Pelodiscus sinensis: one gene and its partner. Each later gene encodes a partner of the first gene's protein in a complex. Links are inferred from orthologs where the notes say so. Each region holds a gene or a part of one and is shown in the gene's direction. Other genes may lie near its edges.

Region 1 (9,919 bases):
CCCCGGCTGCAAACAGACAGACACACAAACAAACTCTCTTAACTATATCATTGATGTAGGGATGTTTAAAAACAGTTAATTAGGTAACCGCTTAGCAGTTACACTCTGCGGGCTCTGTATTATAAAGCTTAGACTACAGAACCCACAGTATAGCATGCTCCCGAGGAGCAGGCTGGCAGTCAATTCACACAGGGAGCCAGCTCCCGGATGCTGACTCCTCTCCTGGGGATGCAGAGAGCATGCACGGCTCTGACAGTCACTTAGGCCTTGCCTACACTAGAAGAGTTAATATCCCACAACTGTGTCTGTGTCACAACTGGACAATGGTAGTCAGACTTATTAGTCAGAGCAGAACCAAGAAGATCAGCAGAAGGTCAGAGTCCAAGACAGGCCAGAGAGAAATCCAGTTGTAATCTGGGGCAAGTTACCAGGAAATGAGGATCAGATGTCTATAAACAAAATACAGGACTATGTAGCACTTTAAAGACTAACAAGATGGTTCATTAGATGATGAGCTTTCGTGGGCCAGACCCACTTCCTCAGATTAAATCTATAAACAGTAATGGAAGAGCAAAGCTAAGGACAAAAAAGATCAGAAGCTGGAAACTAGGGTCTATCACAAGCAGAGTTTAGAGTAGAAAGAAACAGGCCATCTGCATTTCTGCTCAGATGCCTTCCTTCCTTAGTTTCTTAGCCACCAGTGGTCTGCAAAGTGCCACCACTCAAGTCCGGCTGCACAGTATGTCCTGTCAAACCCAGCAACCCTCACAGAGTCCTCCTCAGCCCAGCCTCAGTCTCTACTAGCCATGCAGCAGCACAGAATCCCTATGGTCCCAATGCCGTAAGTTCTTACAGGTATTTTTTTTTCCTTGACTGATACAGTTACAACAGTATAAGCCCTAGTCCATGTCACAATTATATCAATTATTGATTACCTTGCTCCCTGAAAAGTATGTGCATTTTTATACCATTAAGCATTAAAAAAGTAAAACTTTCAAGTTTAAACAAACCCCATCTTCCATGGTTCAGAGCATTTCTTTACATCTAAACCAGCAATGGGCAACCTAGGCTAGTGAGTGGACCACATGAGTAGCCCTCCTTTATATCAGTGGGCCACAAGATTGTCCTAACTTAGCAAAACTATCCTATCTCGGGAGGTTTTTTAACTGCGCTTGCACACCTAGAATTTTCAGGGCATGCTCATTTAACCTTAGCATCACTTTAATTGGATGCAGAAGGTGTGCATGGCTCTCACAGTCAACATTGTGTACAATCAGTATACAACTCACTTAATGTGCCTTTGCTTTAAGTGAGTGTCACTTTAGTAATACCAGTAGGGAAAAAAAAGTTGTGAAAGGAAACTAGCAGAATCTGGCAACAATAAACAACAGCCTTGCAGGCCACATGCAGAATATTGGTCTAAACCAGTGGTTCTCAAAAATTTTGGCCTGTAGGCCACCTGGCTCAATGCAAACCTTTCTGTGGACTACCAGTTGCTAATAGAAACTCACCGCTAATTACATAAACACACCTGCCATTTTGCTAGTGCTGCCACTAGGGAGAACAGTTTAAGTTAACCAGTAAGAAAGGAAATATTAAATTATTAAATAAATTAAATGCTTTAACTTTCTCATGTTAGTCTATCAAACTTCATTTTAAATCAGTGGTGGGCAATAATTTTTGATGGGGGGGGGGGCACTCCAAGATTCTGGAAAGTGGTTAGGGGCTGCACTCTTCCATGATATTCATGGAGGAAGTACAGAGTCAGGGATGGAGGTTGGTTGCAAAAGGAAGCTTGGAGTAAAGGATTGGGATACAGGATGGAGAGTAGGGTCTGGGAGGGAGTTTGGGTGAAGGAGACAGTTGTGACCTGGGGTACTGGTCTGGGATGCAGTGGTTTGGGTTGTAACCTAGGGCAGAGGATTGGGGTGTAAGAGTTTGGGTATGATTTAGGGCAGAAGGGGACTCTGATCTGGGGCAGGGGATTGGAGTACTGGATCCAGGAGATATGGGTGCAGAAGGGGGGCAGAGGGTTTAGGTATATGGAGTAGGGGGGCAGGAGTGGCGGGACAGAGGACTAGGGAAAGGAGAGGATGGAATGCCAGAGGCAGTCTCTGTCCAGGAGACTTACTTGGGTGACTCCCATCCAGCAGCCCAGCACCTTTCTGAAGCAACTTCTTTGCCTAACCCAACCACCACGCAGGCTGCAGGGCCACGTACCTGTGAGAATAACTACAGGCTGGAGGGGAGGAGGGCATGGTGCTTCTTGTGCAGCCTGTTATTCAAACAGGCAAATCCCATTGACCAGTTCCTGACCAGAAACTAGTCAATGGGATTGTGCTGGAGGCAGGGGCAGAGCCTGAAGCTTTCCCTTCTCCACTCCTGGTTCATAGTTTTGAAAGAAAAACGGCCTGGCAGCCACTTTTCTGCACATGGGTAGGGCGAGGCAAGCAGGGAGTCTGCCTGGGGTTCCCCACTGTGTCCAGGAGCTGAATCAGGTGGCTTGGCAGACCAGATGCAGCCCATGGGCTATACTTTGCCCAGGCCTATTTTAAATAAAGTAAAATATTAATTTTATGTCTAACACAAAAGGTTTCAATGATTTATTTATTTATGGCACGGGTGGAGAACCTTTTTTGGACCGGGGGCCAATGACCCACAGAAAAATCAGTTGGGGACCACACAATTCAGAAGCAAAGAAACCCCTCCCCAAACCTCCATAGAACCATGGAATCATAGAGCTGAAAGAAACCTCAGGGGGTCATCAAGTCCAGCCCCCTGCCTAAGCCTTCAACCCTCACTGACGGGGCACCCAAATGAGAAACCTCACTTCTCTGGAGCTCCAACCCCATGGGATGAGCGGGGGGTGTCAGGGAAGACTGAGGTTCAGGGATTCCCATGGGCCAGATTTACTCTTCTGGGGTACCGGGGTTAGTGGATTTTGTGGGCCCCCCAGGGTGTGGGGGGGCGGACAAAAATCAGGGGTTCAGTGTGTGGGACAAGGCTGCCAGTGAGTTGGATAAAGATGTGGGTGCAGGATCTGGATGGGAGGTGGAATGCTGGAGGGGGTGAGCACTGGGTGGGAGGTAGGGTGCAGGTGCAGGATGGGAGTAGGGTGTCTGGCCAGGACAGAGGAGGCAAGAGCAGGGGCAGGTGCAATGTGTGGCTAGGAGGGAGGGTGCAGTAGCAGGCTGGGTGTCTGGCAAGGGGAGGGTGCAGGAGCAGGGTATGGGTGCAGGGTCTGGGTATGAAAGGGTGGGGAGGCATTTACTTACGTTTGCGCCCCACGCCATTCCCAAGCTCCATATCCCAGACACGGCCTCCTGCTGCTCCCACTGGCCACAATTCCAGCCAATGGGAGCAGCGGGGAAAAGCCTCTATGTGCCTATGCTGCTATATTCACAGCTGGGAGAAAGGGAAGGGAAGCAACAGCGTGTGGAGCCACCTCTAGCTCTGCTTCTTCCCCATGAACTGGATCTAGTGGGGAGGCTCAGGGCTTTCTATCCCACCCCCTACCCTAGCAGGAAGGTGCCCTGGTGCTCCAAATTCGTGGGGGGGCGGGGCGTGAGGCTGGAGTGCCAGCATGGGCTCCCTGCTGTGGGGAGAGGGAGGGAAGCAGGGCAGAAGTGGGGAGAGGACTGAGCTTGAGCCACAGGCCACTTTAGTGGTCTTTATCATCCCACAAAAAGTTAAACTGTTACCATTCATGCCCCCAAAGACTTTTACTGGAGAAAAGGTGTGCTCTTAACATAGGTGAGCTAACTCAAGTTAACTGAGATTTTCCCTTGAATTAACTTGATTAAACACCACTCTCTCCCTCTGAACATGAGGCCTCAGAAACTTCAGCCCTGGAACCTGGAGAGATGAAGTCAGCCCTTTTCAAGAACATGCCCTTCCACAGGTTTCTGCCCATGCCAGAGGCTGAGAACTTGCTCTCTCCACAGAAAAGCTCTTTCACTGCACTGCCAAGACACAGTCCCCCCTTTAAGAACATCAGCATCTACTACAGCCCCTTTCCCTCAAAGGCAGTGCCTACCCGCTCCCTTCACACAGGCACACATCAAGTCTCCACAAGAGTCATCACATCCCTGCTGGCTCTTTGCCCCCACGCACCATCTCTCACTTGTGACCACAACCTCTGCTCCTTGCACCCCAGCCACCATCCCCTACTAATGACTATAGCCCTACTCCCCCACACCAGCCCCACTCTGCCACTCAGGGTTGTGGCCGCTAAGGGCACAACTACACTGCAGGGCAAAGCAGAGCAGGCCTAAGCTACAGGATGACCGGGCTACTACCCGGGGCGCCCCATTCTAGGGGACACCGCGTGGGGCTGCCGGAACAGGCGGGGAGGGGCTGTGCATGCAGTGGGCATCCAGGACAAGGCCACGCATACACTGGGTGCCCAGGGGCAAGGCCGTGCATGCGCCACACTCCTGGGGGTGGCACTGCGCTCCTGGGGCGCACGAACGGCTCGGCAGGCCCTGAGGCAAAGGTCGAAATTCGCAACTTCAGCTACATCAATTGTGTAGCTGAAGTGGAAATAGCTTAGTTTGGATTTGGGCGCTATCTACACTGCAGGAAGTCAAAGGAAAAGCACCCTTCCTTCAACTTCCCTTACTCCTCCTGAAATGAGAGTTACAGGCATAGGTGTACCCAGGGGGTGTGCCGGGTGTGCCCAGGCACACCCTAATGTCTCAAAAAAAAGTGGCTTTGGGTTTTAATTTAATCACACGATACGCTCTTTTAGTTTAAAGGTATAGATTGTTGTATTATATAATAAGCGGTGTCATTATTCCCCTTTATTCGGCTTTGGTGAGGCCACATCTGGAGTATTGTGTCCAGTTCTGGGCCCCCCACTACAAAAAGGATGTGGACGCATTGCAGAGGGTCCAGCGGAGGGCAACCAAAATGATTAGGGGGCTGGAGCATATGACTTATGAGGAGAGGCTGAGAGACTTGGGTCTGTTTAGTCTGCAGAAGCGAAGAGTGAGGGGGGATTTGATAGCAGCCTTCAACTTCCTGAAGGGAGGTTCCAAAGAGGATGGAGAGAGGCTGTTCTCAGTAGTGACAGATGGCAGAACAAGGAGCAATGGTCTCAAGTTGTGGTGGGAGAGGTCCAGGTTGGATATTAGGAAAAACTGTTTCACTAGGAGGGTAGTGAAGCACTGGAATGGGTTACCTAGGGAAGTAGTGGAGTCTCCATCCCTAGAGGTGGTTAAGTCTCGGCTTGACAAAGCCCTGGCTGGGTTGATTTAGTTGGGATTGGTCCTGCCTTGGGCAGGGGGCTGGACTTGATGACCTTCTGACGTCTCCTCCAGTTCTATGATTCTAAGTGCCGAATGTAGAATATATAAAAAGCCTGCCTTGGCTCACAGCATGTCCTTTATGATTGAGTAGTCAATAAATTTTCACCAATAAAAAATAAAATTCCCTGGGTGCACACCCTAATGAAATGTGCTGCGCACCTCTATGGTTACAGGAGCCAGCGTAAGAACTCCTCCATATAGACATTATTGCTGTGTAGACGCGCACACTATGGTATTTGGAAATAACGCTGCTGTGAAGCCGGTCCACTCTCCAGGAGCGGCGCCTCGTGCGGCACAGCAGCAGCAATCCCACTCGCAGAGGCCATCAGCCGCCCGCGCCCTGCCCGTACCGGGTTGCCACACGGGCTGCCGCTCCCACTCACTGTGCTCCCAGCGCTGGAGGGAGGAGCCGCCCCAGCACCAACAAGCCACCTGCGCTGCGCCCGCCTCGCGCCAGCATTGCTCTCTGCCCGGCAGTCCCGCCCCTTGGCCCCTCCTCAGGGGGCGGCGCTACTCTACTCGACCCGGCCAGGCCGCGCCGGGAGGGAGGGAGGCCCGGTTAGGCCTCTGGTGCGGAGGTTGGAGTCGCGAGGCGGGAAAGCGCCTCGGTCAGGCTGCCGGGGGAGGAGGGGGCTCGGCCCTGGGTAGCCGCCTCAGAGCCTACGGTGAGCGAGCCGCAGCGCCTTTCCCACCCGCGAGAGAGGGAGAGGGATCTGGGGCGGGAAGGGGTGACCGTTGGGAGAGGGGGAGGGGAGGGCTGACTGGAGCAGGGGTGACCGTTGGGGGAGGGAAGCGGCGGCTTGGACGGGGCTTGGGGAGAACCACGGAGCCGCAGAGGAGCGGTGACTGGGGTGGGGGTAGCTGCGGACTTGGAAGCTGCGGCGTGTATGGGAGCCAGGGGGCAGTAACTCGAGGTGGGCAATACGCACGGGCCGCCTCTCTCGGAGATTTAATTTCTGTATTGAACCGTTTCTTCGGCAGGTCGTAACTCGGGGAGGAAGGTGGATGGAAAAATGTGACTCCCCAGGAAAATGAAACCAAGTGCTATGAAGATTAGCAACAAAGGACAAGTTACACGTAGGTGATGGTCTTTCTTTAGATGATCTTGAGCGATTATGGGAAGCAGTTCAGAGGGTTTGCAAATCTCATTCAGTGGCTGTAAAGGATTTTTTGATCGTTTAATTTAGGTACATTGTTAACTGGGAGCTGTTTTTCTCAAATTCGTCAAATAAAAAGGGGGCTGCATATAATTAACACCTATGAGAAGGCCCCAATCCAGCATTTTGTCTCTTGGTGTGTTCGTGGACCTATGACTGGAGCTTGACTCACCATTTCCCACAAAACGTGTAAAAATGTTTAATTTTATTTAAGGTAGTCCCAAGGAAGCAATAGTAATAAAAACTCAAAACACAAAATGGGTAAATATCTGTATTGTATTTGTAAACACCATCATCTTCCAAAACAAAAAACAGGACTGTGTAGCACTTTAAAGACTAACAAGATGGTTTAATAGGTGATGAGCTTTCGTGGGCCAGACCCACTTCCTCAGATCAAATAGTGGAAGAAAATTGTCACAACTTCCAGTAATTGAAAATTCACAAGAAAGCTGAAATTCTTAGGCTTTAAAATCCTTTCTCTTTAATATTGGAGACTCTGTGCTAATTTATGCTGATACACTAGAACAAAAAGTGAAACTGACTAGAAATAAGTGAAACTGGTTAACTTGTTCATTGTATAAGCTGTCTGAAAGAGGGATAAACTTAAAAAACAACGAATAGGCTAGCAGCACCTTAAAGACTAACAAAACATGTAGATGGTATCATGAGCTTTCATGGATACCACCCACTTTTTCAGATGAATGGAATATTAAAAGCCCAGTTCCAAAATAAATATGGGATGGGGGGGGGAGGGCGGCAAAAAAGGAAGGAGGAAAAATTAGTGAATTAGAGTTTTTAAGGTGCTGCTAGCTAGATTTTTTTTTAAGTTTTTCCAGTTATAGATTAACTGAAATTCAACATCCCTGTTTCAAAAGCTTCAGAGGGGTAGCTGAGTTAATCAGCTAATTGAATAGTCAATGGAAGGGGGGTGCTCACTATCCTGCTGCCTCTCTCCCTTTGAAATGTACAAGAGCCATCCACAGGGGGTTCCCCTCTGTGCTGCTTCCTTTGAAATGTACAAGATCCACAGGGTTGGGGCCTTTGGTGATTGCTCCCCTTTAACATTACTGTAGATGGGCATCAAAATGTCTTCTGAGAAATGAAGTAATTGAAAAAAACTTTAATATTGTTTTAAAGCTGGTTGTGTAATAATTTTCAAATCTTCTTTCTTGTATGTTTTAGGGCCACGGTTCTTCAAAAATACATCCTGTTTATGCAGAACTTTGGCTTATCCTGCCCTTACTGTCACTACTTGAATTTGGCTTTAAAGAGGGGAAAATATTTTGGAAAACATGCAAGTTCATAAAATATAATCCTATTCAAACTTTCTTTCTTTTTTCCACCAGGTGGAATACAAGGAAAAACAGAAAAAAATAAACCTTCTCTGAAAACATCAAAAAAAGATATCACAAAGACAGAGAAATCTAAATATAAGCCTCTTACAGGGAAGGTGTTTTATCTTGATATTCCATCTAATGTGATCTCTGAAAAATTAGAGACGGATCTGAAGGAACTAGGAGGGGTAAGTTTAAAAAACCATATGTGTTTACAAAGTGGGAAAAGTAATATGCAGGCTTTGGATATTTTTCCAATACATCATGTTCTGTAAATACATGATTAAAAATGATTATTTTTTTTTAAATATATGTTGTCCCGTAACTTTATTTTCTACATGTTTTCCTTTTTATAATGAATCTTTAGGTTAATGTTAAAATATAATTTTCTTCAGTTTTTTTGCTATTATAAGTGGAGCTGGTAACATTGCCTATAAGGTTAAGGTTATCCAATACTTTCTATTTTAAGACTTTGTTTTCAGTTGCTTTTAACTTTGCCTACCTCTGACTGTTTTGGCTGAAGTTTTCTGTGCTAGTTTTCTACCTCAGGCTCATTTTTTTTATTTGAAAGTTTGTCTGTTTCCAAAAATGAGATTAGAAAACAACATCTTTTCCCCAATGTTTAAAGCCTTTTTACAACTGTTTCATGGAGTCGCTCTTTTGCCTCCATGCTTCAGACCAGACTTGGGCAAGGTGGTCAAACTGGTGCTAGTAATATGCCTTTTGCTGTCCCCATGACATTTTGCTTAAATTTGGCCAAGTAATGAGGCTCAAAAAATCACTTCATAAGTGCTCAGAAGAGACTTACTGGTGTTTGGTAGCAATATTCTCCAAATATTTCATATAGCATGCATTAGCCCAGAGCTGCAAGGGCTGGATAGTTCTGTGTAATTGTTCTTTCCTGCCATCAGGGGCAGTATCTCTTATGCGGCAAGAACTGGGGTGATGACATGAGTTGAATTCAGAGTGCTGGGGGTGTAAGCAATAAAGGCATGATGCATTGCAGGAGCCAAAAGAGGGCCGGAGATGTAGGTGCGGGTGGATGGGGAGGAGTTTTTGGATATGAGCAAAGAGGAAGGGTGGGACAAGGAGGGCATGGGGTTGGATAGGATCAAGGATGGAAGTGGGCAGGAGACAGGAAGGCTACGTCTACACTGGCATGATTTTCTGGAAATGCTTTTAATGGAAAACTTTTCCATTAAAAGCATTTTCGGAAAAGCACGTCTAGATTGGCAGGACGCTTTTCCACAAAAAAGCCCCGATCGCCATTTTCGCGATCGGGGCTTTTTTGCGGAAAACAGTACTGTGCTGTCTACACTGGCCCTTTTGCGCAAAAGTCTTTCGGAAAAAGACTTTTGCCCTAATGGGAGCAGCATACTATTTCCGGAAAAGCACTGACAATCTTACATGAGATTGTCAGCACTTTTCCGGAAATTCAAGCGGCCAGTGTAGACAGCTGGCAAGTTTTTCCGGAAAAGCTGCTGATTTTCCGGAAAAGCTGGCCAGTCTAGACACAGCCGAAGTGAGGAGTTGGATAGGATCAGAGAGGGTGCGGGGCAAGAAGGTGGCCAGCAGGAGGTATGAGTATTGGATAGGAACAGGGGAGGAGATAGCTGAAGGGGTAAGGGAGGACACGATAGGGCACAGAGATAAAATAATTAACAGCCAGCACAGCACATTCCTCTACACATCCTGGAACTAAATCCAGGAATTCTGTGTCTTTGCAATCATCGGCTTACAAAGCTGTGAAGCCCACTAATAAAGTATGTGCTCAGCCCATGTGACTGGTTTACACAGAGGATAACAGCCTTCTACTGCTACCAGTTATTCTACCATATTATGATATTCTGCTATATTAAGAGGTAGTCTTTGCTATTAATCTAAAGGTCCAAATTAGGGATGTAAGCTACTAGTCAGCTACCCAAACCCCGCTTGCCCTGGATTCTGACTGCTGCGCTTCTGCCTATGAAATGTAGCAAGAGCCCGGGTTCTGACTGCTGCATTCTGTCTCCATAGGGGGCAGGAGAGGCAGAGGCACAGCGGGGAAATGGTGTGAGTGGGGACTGAAGCAGTGCCCACTTGCCCTGGGTCCCGACTGCTGTGCCTCTGTCTTTGAAAT
Region 2 (10,283 bases), on another chromosome or scaffold:
AAAGACTTTTGTTGTTTGGGGGTTGGGGCAAAGCAGAAACTTGTGACATACCATGACCATCATCAACATACTTTATTGAATTATTAATACATTTGAAACTGGAGAAAACTAAGTACTGCATAAAGCTAAAATTGATTGCTAAGAGAGAGGAAGTTTAGATTTATTTTTCAGTTATAGTTTGTCAGAAGGCTGAATTGCTATACCATGGGAAATTCAGACATTTCAAAATTAGTTTTTTGATGTAGGAAAGCTGAAATTTCTAAATTACTTACAGGACAAAAATTTTAAAAAAATGTATTGGAAATATCAAAACATCAAATATAAAAGATACTTTCAAATGTTAAATATAACATTTAACATTATATCAACTCAAATCAAAATTAAACAAGAAAGTCTAAATGAAACATTTTTATCTTATTGAAAGGAAACATTTTGATATTATCAAAACAAAATGAGGCAGTCAAAACAATTCATTTCAAGAATTTTTTGACAAAGATGCCACAGAAATCAACACTTTCCCTTGTAATGTTTCAAGTTTGGCAAAATTGCATTTTTCCAACAGAAAACTCTTCTGTTAACAATTTTTCAACCAGCTTTACTTCAGTTGAACAGGTTCTCAGAGAGAACAGGACAGTGAAATGAGACTTCTTCGTATGTTTACTCATGTTGATTCCATTCCAGGTGTATGTTTGCCCATGTGAACAGTCAATAGAGATTTTTGCCTTAGCAGTGTCCATGGGATTGGCTGTGGCGCCCCCTGGAGTTGCTTATGTGATGCTATATTAGGCACCACTGGCCCTATTCCCTCTCTGTTCTTTATTTCTACAGATCTAAGAGCCCTATTTTGCATTGCAGGAGCCTACCAGTTCTTACAGTTAATTGTTCTCTTTCCTTTATATTTAGTTTTTAGGTACTTAGACTATTAAGTTAAGTGTTAATGTAATAGTTTAGTAGTTAGAGTCCTGGCTGGGAATGCCGTCTTCCCCAGGCTTTAAGCCATGTTCATCATGCAGAAGACCAATGTCCATTAGTGACCCCATGATGCTGTTTAAAGTGTTTGGGGGAGTCCCATAGAAAGGACAAGTGCAGGATCTGCAAAGTCTTTCAGCCTCAAAATCAAAAGGAGCAGGATATCCAATTCAAGGATCTTCTCATGGACACTGCACTTTGTCTGGCCTTGGAACCCTCCGGATTGGACTCCACACCTACCACCTTGGCATCAAAGCAGAACGCACGGCCAGCACCAGAATTCACCAGGCACCATTCCCCCTCACTAGTGCCTAAGAAGCTGCTAAAGATGAAGGGCCCACCAGCACCAGAGGGGAAGAGGACTTTGGGAAAAAGACCTGTGTCAGGCAGGCCACATGTTCGCTCTGCAGGCCACATGTTCGCACAGGGTCGCTGCTGTGGTTGGATCCCCTAGTTCAGCCGGGGATCTGAATTCTGAAAGCAGCAGTGGACCATGGCTCCTCATAATGCTTTTGATGGACAAAGAATAAGTTATTTAGAAGACCCAGGTACTTCACACCCTGATCTCCACCTACAAGGCACGGGACACCACCAAAATACTAATCCCCATACCCATGATATCAACGGGCCTCCTGCCAAAAATTGTCAAGACAAAGATCATCGACTAGGCTCTCTCTCAGGTATTGATACTCTCCAATGCAGGATCATTCCCGGTTGTGGCATTGGTCTCCAACTCCCCAGTACCATTCTTTGGGCAGGCACTGATCCACGCCATCTCCTTACTGGTCGCCAGTGAGGCTCAGTTGGCCAACTCAGGACTGTACAGCTCTGCCCTGGTTACAAAAAGGACAATGGTCCAAGTCAGAGGGAAAGTTCAGCCCCTCATCAAGAAAAGGTAAATCACCACCATCCCACAAGATCAGTGCGGCTCCGGAAGCAGCAGCATCAGAGACAGTGGCCCACTCAGTGGTTGTATTGGAATCTGTGGGGCATACCTATTATGCTGATCCTGTACTCCCACCATTCTTCCCTGATTGCAATGGACAAACTGTCCCTGGCACCAGAATCAAAGCACAGCACCAAATCTGTCACCATAGCATGCTCTGACATCCAACCCGTGGGACTCCATCGGCAAGTTCAAAGAGGCCCTTCCACAGGACCGAGCCCAGAAGTTCGTTGCCTTAGTGGAGGAAGGCACAGCGATAGCGAGAGGCACACTCCAAATTGCCTGGGATGCTACGGACTAGGTGGCAGGGCAGTCAGCAGTGCAGTAGGTGGAGCTCCTAGTTACAGTCCTCTCTTCAAGTTACCACTCTTCAAGACTTCCTGTTTGAGGGAACAGGACACTTCTCTGAGATTAGTAATGCTTGGCTCCACAGCCTTAAAATCTCCTACACCAGTCCTCTGCCACCTCAGTCAAGGTTGACGTGGTGATCCCCAAACAAGCACCTTTGCAGGATAAAAGACAGAGACGAGGGGGTTTAAGCAGCACTACCATCCATCTTTATATTAGCAAACTTTGTTAATATTTTAATTAATAGATTTTTAGCAATATTATTTGTTAATGTTATAAAAATGACCAATGTTTTCCGGATGGTATGTAGCATGTATTCCTAAGGTCATATATAGCTGAAATTTGCACTAGGTTGTATTTGCACACTATTGAACATTCATTATCCATATTCTTAGAAAGCATCAGAAAAGCACTGTCCAAGTAAATTTATGAACTGTTATTGAAATTGGAGGGTTTTTTATTTTAATCAGATTCTGTATCAGGAATTCATCACATCCCTAGTTATAGTTATTTTAAACAAGCAAAAAGCATAAATAACAAATATCAACATAACAAATGAGAACTAGGCTAGCAGAAAATAGGCACTACACAGAGATAAAATATAAGGTAATATAATAATTACATTCAGCCAGATATTTAATTTAATAATCTATTGTGTTTTACAAAAAGGGGCAACATATTTTATCAAAGGTATCTAATATCTTTAGTTCAAAATGAAGCCTTTTCAAAGCAGGGAACCATCAACACCTGAGTGGCTGGTATGTAGGTCTACACTACAGCTTTTTCCTATTTTTTTTTTTTTTGGAAGAGGCTTTTCCGAAATTTGACCTGTCTACACTGGACCAAATTTTGGAAAATCTCCCTCTTTCAGAAGATCCCTTCTTCCTCATGGAATGAGGAAGACAAGGCTTCTGAAAGAGCACATTTGCACTTCTGCAAAGAAAAAGCAGAAGAGCAAATGCGTTCCCTGGACGTGGCGGAGTTTTTCTGGGATATCTCCAGTATCCTGGAAAACCCCCACAGTGTAGATGTACGTGTGTGTGTGTGTGTGTGTGTGTGAGCATGTGAGCGTGCGCAGCCATGTGTGTGCATGCGCAGGGCTATATAGTTCTGAAACATTTGCTGGAAATAGGACTTCAGGAGTGTGGAGGAGGCATAAGCAGAATCCAGAAGCTTTCTGTGATTCTGCAGCCACTGAATATTAGTACTTCTGAAACTGGAGAAAACTGGGTATTGTATAAAATAACATCAGGAAGAGGCTTCTGAACACTAAAATATAGTCCACAGGCAATTTTCTAAAGAAACCCCCTTTCTATGATGCTGTCCTCTTTTTTAATATTTTAAGCCAGTTGCCTTAAGTGATATATGTATCACTTTTCTTTCAGTACAAAATTTCTCTCTTTGATAGACTGCTTTTATCTCAGGGCCCCAACACTGCTGTCTGCTGGGGGCACTGTAACTGCTTCATTCTGCCTGCTGGGACTTCAGCATACCTCAGTCAGGCCTGTTGGAGTTGGGGTAAGACATGGTTTTCTTTGTATATATTTCTTTGTTCTTTTATATAGGAGTATGAAACAGTTTTCTTATGAACTATAATTCTTTGTTCTTTTGTTAGTAGCTCTTTAGAAGTGAAAGTATGGCATGCAAACGGAAAACAGACATCATGTCTTTGTTGCTCTCTGCTGTATCTGTCTCAAAATCAGTGAACGGAAGATCTCATTCTGCTTTCAGTTACACCAGTATAAATCAGGAGTAATTCAACTGAAGTTAGTGCAGTTTTACCAATGCAAAATTAATATAAATAAGAGGTGAATCAAACCCAGTGTTTCTACAGAAGGTTTAAGTGGAATATCACATTTTTGAACTGTTCATATATTAGGGGCATAGTCTCTCCAGGGTGATAGTGGGGAAGAATAGATTATAATGACTGGGGTGGTTACAATGACTTTTAATGATTTACAGAATGTACAGTAAGTTAAGGAATGTTTATTATTATAGTAGTCTATTTATAAAATGGCTTGTAGGCTATTATTCCATCTTGGTGCTACATGCCAAATACAATGGGAAAATAACTAGATGTTTCAATCATATATGCCTAACTTCCTCCAGATTTAAATGTTAAAAGTTTAATACTAATCATATGCTATGATAGTATGCACAACTTTACTTTTGTATAGAATCCGCTATATAAGAATTCGATTTTTTTTAAATAATTTAAATCACAGAGGGTATGTCTACACTACCCCGCTAGTTCAAACTAGGAGGGTAATGTAGGCATACCGTATTTGCAAATGAAGCCCGGGATTTGAATTTCCCGGGCTTCATTTGCATAAGCGGGGAGCCGCCATTTTTAAAACCCCGCTGGTTCGAACCCCGTGCAGCGCGGCTACACGGGGCATGAACTAGGTAGTTCGAACTAGGCTTCCTAGTTCAAACTACCGTTACTCCTCGTGAAATGAGGAGTAACGGTAGTTTGAACTAGGAAGCCTAGTTCGAACTACCTAGTTCGTGCCCCGTGTAGCCGCGCTGCACGGGGTTCGAACCAGCGGGGTTTTAAAAATGGCGGCTCCCCGCTTATGCAAATGAAGCCCGGGAAATTCAAATCCCGGGCTTCATTTGCAAGTGCGGTATGCCTACATCACCCTCCTAGTTCGAACTAGGAGGGTAGTGTAGACATACCCTGAGATGACCAGTTTTAAAGAAAACAAACAATGTGAAACCAGTAAGTTTAAGAAATACTATAAAAGACAGCTTTAAAGTAGTCATCGTTGCTGCTTACTGATATTGCTGGCTAGATTCTCACTCCATTAAAGCTTTTTATGCCACTGAAGTCAAAATATGGAAAAATAGAAACATTATGGTGAAAAAAAATTACCCACTTTAAAAAAAAAGCTGTGGGGAAGGTGGTAAACATGCAAATACAGAAACAGTTAGTACAATCCCTTGCACAAATATATTTGTAAATTATCACACTTTCAAAATAACATTGTGTGAATTATCACTGACAATAGCAAGTTTAACTTGGAGAATAACTTGAACTTGAACCATGGACTATATTTAACCAGGCAATATTGTAGAGGTGGAAATAGATAAATATGCGGACACAGAAGATTTCCTTTCTTAAAGCAAGGTGAGGGTTTGGTTGTTCCAGGAAAACGTGAAGTGCCTGGAATGGGATTATTTTTTATCACATGGAAATGGAGGAAGCTACAGGAGGGATAGCTACACTGCAGAGTGACCACTGGAGAGCGACCACACCAACAAGAGACTGGCCAGCTGGCGACAGAGCTGTTTACATGGCCAGTCACTGGACTGGGTAAGTGGCTTCCCTGCCCCAAGCCTTTCTCCACAGCCCTCGGCCACAGTGTTGAATGGAGGGGGAGTCCCATCAGTCACTGGCTGCCACCACAGCCCCCCAAACAGCAAAGCCCACACCCACAGGAGACTCAGTAACCATGGACCATCCCATCTGGAAGAGACTCCCCTTCTCTAGGTAGGCCAGGGCCTGTCACCGTCCCCTCTGCAGTAGACTCTCCCGTTCTGGAAGAAGCCTGGAACCTCAGTGCACCCCATCCTGTAGGAAACACCACCTTTTGAAGAGAGGCCAGGAACCATAGCCCAGGCCCCCACTCAGAGCCGCCCCCTCTGAGGAGAGGCCTGGTGTCCCCAGAGGAAACACACCTACCACAGAAGAGACCAGGAACCACAGGGTCCCCTCCCCTTAAGTTCTGTCCCCTGGGGAAGCTGGAGATAACTGGCAACTTGGCCAGGCTGGAGCAGCCCCTGCGCTCCAGTCCAGTGGGGTCCATCACACTGCGCTGCTGGAGGAGGGCACTCCAGCCCAGCCCAGCCACCAGATAACTGGGCAGCACAGTGGGCCCAGACAGCCTGGATCAGCCAGCTCCCTGCCTGCAGCAAGTTGAGTCCAGTCTGGCTGGAGCAACCCCTGCCCACAGTACAGGGCAGCAGGCCCAGCCTGGCCTGAGCAGAAGCTCCTCACCCACAGTACAATGGGCTCAGCCCAGTGTGGCCAAAGCAGTTTGCAATGCAGCACATCTGGCTACACTGGAGCCATGGGCAAAGGGTTGCTCCAGTCAGGCTGGACCCATCATGCTACACTGCGGGTGTGGGGCCACTCCTGCATGGCCGGGCCCCCTGCGCCATGGGCAAGGGACTGTTCCAACCCAGCTGGGCCTATCTAGGCTAGAGTGGCCCCCCTGCCTGCATGATCCTAGTTAATCAATTAAATGTAACGTTTTACTGGTTTAAAATAGGATTTTACATCCCTACTGCCCAGTTGTTTGGTTTTCTTTAGGACTCAGGTTGTGTTAGGGAACTTTCTCTTCCCCCGCCCGATTCTTTTCATGAAGATGGAAAGCAAAAGACCAGAAGTCTGAAGTGCAGGCAATGTGATGTTTATTGGACTTAGTTTCAAGCAAGCATGTCCATAGCTTTGATGCCATAAAGCCTATTTTCTAGTGTTCCTGGGTCCAACTCTGATGCCACAGAGTGTTTACCCATATCCCCACTCACTATTCTCATCTCCAGCTTCTTTGCAGGCCCAAATATAACTGGAGCAAATGCCCCTGATCCTACCCCTCACAACTTATGGTAATATATCGTTTTGTGGGTGTCATGAGTCTGGGGTCTTAATACCATCTCTGTGACGGGGTCGTGGAGCAAAGCGCACCCCCGCCACTAGACCTCCGCCGGGGGCCGGACAAGCCGCTCTCCCCTCGGACCGCGGTGAGAGAAGAGCTGGCAGCCGGAGCGGAGCTGGCGAGCAGCATCCAGTTCCCTGGCGGCACATGCGCCTTCGACCCCAGACATGGCAGCACCGGCGCAGGTGCAATGGGGGGCAGCTCAGGTGAGGTCAACGGAGGAGGGGCAGGGAGCCGGCCCCGGGATGCCGGTGCAGGAGGGGAAGCGGCAGTGTTAAAAGGAGGAGAGGTGGAGAACAGAGAGAGGAGCGGCCGGGACTGAGGGAGGACTGGGAAAACTGAGGATAGTGGAACAGGAGGCGGACGGTGAAGCCCAGACACTTGGGGGTGAGGAAGTAGCCAGGGCAGGCGGACATAGAACTGCTCGTGGGCTGACGTGTTTAGGCGGTTAGCCCAGTCAGCCAGTTGGGTGGCGTCATAGAATCATAGAATCATAGAATAATAGGACTGGAAGGGACCTCAAGAGGTCATCGAGTCCATCCCCCCGTCCTCAAGGCAGGACCAAGCTCCGTCTACACCATCCCTGACAGATGTCTATCCAACCTGTTCTTAAATATCTCCAGAGAGGGAGATTCCACCACCTCCCTTGGCAATTTATTCCAATATTTGACCACCCTGACAGTTAGGAATTTTTTCCTAATGTCCAATCTAAACCTCCCCTGCTGCACTTTAAGCCCGTTACTCCTTGTCAGAAACCAAGAGGAACAAATTTTCTCCTTCCTCCTTGTGACACCCTTTTAGATATTTGAAAACCGCTATCATGTCCCCCCTTAATCTTCTTTTTTCCAAACTAAACAAGCCCAGTTCATGAAGCCTGGCTTCATAGGTCATGTTCTCTAAACCTTTAATCATTCTTGTAGCTCTTCTCTGTACCCTTTCCAATTTCTCCACATCTTTCTTGAAATGTGGCGCCCAGAACTGGACACAGTACTCCAGCTGAGGCCTAACTAGTGCAGAGTAGAGCGGCAGAATGACTTCACGAGTTTTGCTTACAACACACCTGTTGATACAACCTAGAATCATATTTGCTTTTTTTGCAACAGCATCACACTGTTGACTCATATTCAACTTGTGGTCCACTATGACCCCTAGATCCCTTTCGCCATGCTCTTTCCTAGACAGTCGCTTCCCATCTTGTATGTATGGAACTGATTGTTCCTTCCTAAGTGGAGCACTTTGCATTTCTCTTTATTAAACCTCATCCTGTTTACCTCTGACCATTTCTCTAACTTGCTAAGGTCATTTTGAATTATGTCCCTATCCTCCAAAGAAGTTGCAACCCCACCCAGTTTGGTATCATCTGCAAACTTAATAAGCGTACTCTCTATCCCAATATCTACATCATTGATGAAGATATTGAACAGTACGGGTCCCAAAACAGACCCTTGAGGAACTCCACTTGTTATCCCTTTCCAGCAGGATTTAGAACCGTTAACAACAACTCTCTGACTACGGTTATCCAGCCAATTATGCACCCACCTTATCGTGGCCCTATCTAAGTTATATTTGCCTAGTTTATCAATAAGAATATCATGCGAGACCGTATCAAATGCCTTACTAAAGTCTAGGTATATGACATCCACCGCTTCTCCCTTATCCACAAGGCTCGTTATCTTATCAAAGAAAGCTATCAGATTAGTTTGGCATGACTTGTTCTTCACAAACCCATGCTGGCTATTCCCTATCACTTTATTACCTTCCAAGTGTTTGCATACGATTTCCTTAATTACCTGCTCCATTATCTTCCCTGGGACAGACAAACTGACCGGTCTGTAGTTTCCTGGGTTGTTCTTATTCCCCTTTTTATAGATGGGCACAATATTTGCCCTTTTCCAGTCTTCTGGAATCTCCCCTGTCTGCCATGATTTTTCAAAGATCATCCACGAGCCTTGTGGATAAGGGAGAAGCGGTGGATGTCATATACCTAGACTTTAGTAAGGCATTTGATACGGTCTCGCATGATATTCTTATTGATAAACTAGGCAAATATAACTTAGATAGGGCCACGATAAGGTGGGTGCATAATTGGCTGGATAACCGTAGTCAGAGAGTGGTTGTTAACGGTTCTAAATCCTGCTGGAAAGGGATAACAAGTGGAGTTCCTCAAGGGTCTGTTTTGGGACCCATACTGTTCAATATCTTCATCAATGATGTAGATATTGGGATAGAGAGTACGCTTATTAAGTTTGCAGATGATACCAAACTGGGTGGGGTTGCGACTTCTTTGGAGGATAGGGACATAATTCAGAATGACCTTAGCAAGTTAGAGAAATGGTCGGAGGTAAACAGGATGAGGTTTAATAGAGAGAAATGCAAAGTGCTCCACTTAGGAAGGAACAATCAGTTCCATACATACAAGATGGGAAGCGACTGTCTAGGAAGGAGCATGGCAGAAAGGGATCTAGGGGTCATAGTGGACCACAAGTTGAATATGAGTCAACAGTGTGATGCTGTTGCAAAAAAAGCAAATATGATTCTAGGTTGTATTAACAGGTGTGTTGTAAGCAAAACTCGTGAAGTCATTCTGCCGCTCTACTCTGCACTAGTTAGGCCTCAGCTGGAGTACTGTGTCCAGTTCTGGGCGCCACATTTCAAGAAAGATGTGGAGAAATTGGAAAGGGTACAGAGAAGAGCGACAAGAATGATTAAAGGTTTAGAGAACATGACCTATGAAGCCAGGCTTCATGAACTGGGCTTGTTTAGTTTGGAAAAAAGAAGATTAAGGGGGGACATGATAGCGGCTTTCAAATATCTAAAAGGGTGTCACAAGGAGGAAGGAGAAAATTTGTTCCTCTTGGTTTCTGAGGACAGGACAAGGAGTAATGGGCTTAAAGTGCAGCAGGGGAGGTTTAGATTGGACATTAGGAAAAAATTCCTAACTGTCAGGGTGGTCAAATATTGGAATAAATTGCCAAGGGAGGTGGTGGAATCTCCCTCTCTGGAGATATTTAAGAACAGGTTAGATAGACATCTGTCAGGGATGGTGTAGACGGAGCTTGATCCTGCCTTGAGGGCAGGGGGCTGGACTCGATGACCTCTCGAGGTCCCTTCCAGTCCTATGATTCTATGATTCTATGATAGCTAAAGGCTCAGATACCTCCTCTATCAGCTCCTTGAGTATCCTGGGATGCATTTCATCAGGACCTGGTGACTTGCTGACATCTAACTTTCCTAAGTGATTTTTAACTTGTTCTTTGTGTATCCTATCTTCTAAACTTACCCTCTCTCTGCTTGTATTCACTACGTTAGGCACACCTCCAGACTTCTCGGTGAAGACCGAAACAAAGAAGTCATTGAGC

The links. Proteins that work in one complex are often made in the same cells at the same time.
Region 2: the proteins of DBF4 (region 1) and CDC7 are in contact, whole or in part, in a crystal structure (PDB 6YA8), measured with the Homo sapiens proteins. The link is inferred for Pelodiscus sinensis from reciprocal best matches to the Homo sapiens genes DBF4 and CDC7. Residues at the interface, in NP_006707.1 of Homo sapiens: Thr210, Arg211, Thr212, Gly213, Arg214, Leu215, Lys217, Pro218, Phe219, Val220, Lys221, Val222, Glu223, Asp224, Met225, Ser226, Gln227, Leu228, Tyr229, Arg230, Pro231, Phe232, Tyr233, Leu234, Leu236, Met239, Pro240, Ile242, Asn243, Tyr244; in NP_001127891.1 of Homo sapiens: Asn56, Val57, Phe58, Ala77, Gln78, Leu79, Gln80, Ile87, Ile93, Pro94, Thr95, Ser96, His97, Pro98, Ile99, Arg100, Ile101, Ala102, Leu105, Gln106, Thr109, Lys121, Tyr122, Cys123, Phe124, Arg125, Asn127, Asp128, Val130, Leu143.

What each region holds. Positions count from the first base shown.
Region 1 is NC_134712.1:216,915,004-216,924,922, reverse strand, and holds the start of DBF4 (protein DBF4 homolog A), read left to right. Parts: upstream 1-5,825; 5' UTR 5,826-5,974; intron 5,975-6,290; 5' UTR 6,291-6,340; coding exon 6,341-6,386; exon of another isoform or gene 6,387-6,390; intron 6,391-7,812; coding exon 7,813-7,988; intron 7,989-9,919. UniProt on the Homo sapiens protein: Regulatory subunit for CDC7 which activates its kinase activity thereby playing a central role in DNA replication and cell proliferation. Required for progression of S phase.
Region 2 is NC_134719.1:33,694,703-33,704,985, forward strand, and holds the start of CDC7 (cell division cycle 7-related protein kinase), read left to right. Parts: upstream 1-5,559; coding exon 5,560-5,579; intron 5,580-10,283. UniProt on the Homo sapiens protein: Kinase involved in initiation of DNA replication. Phosphorylates critical substrates that regulate the G1/S phase transition and initiation of DNA replication, such as MCM proteins and CLASPIN.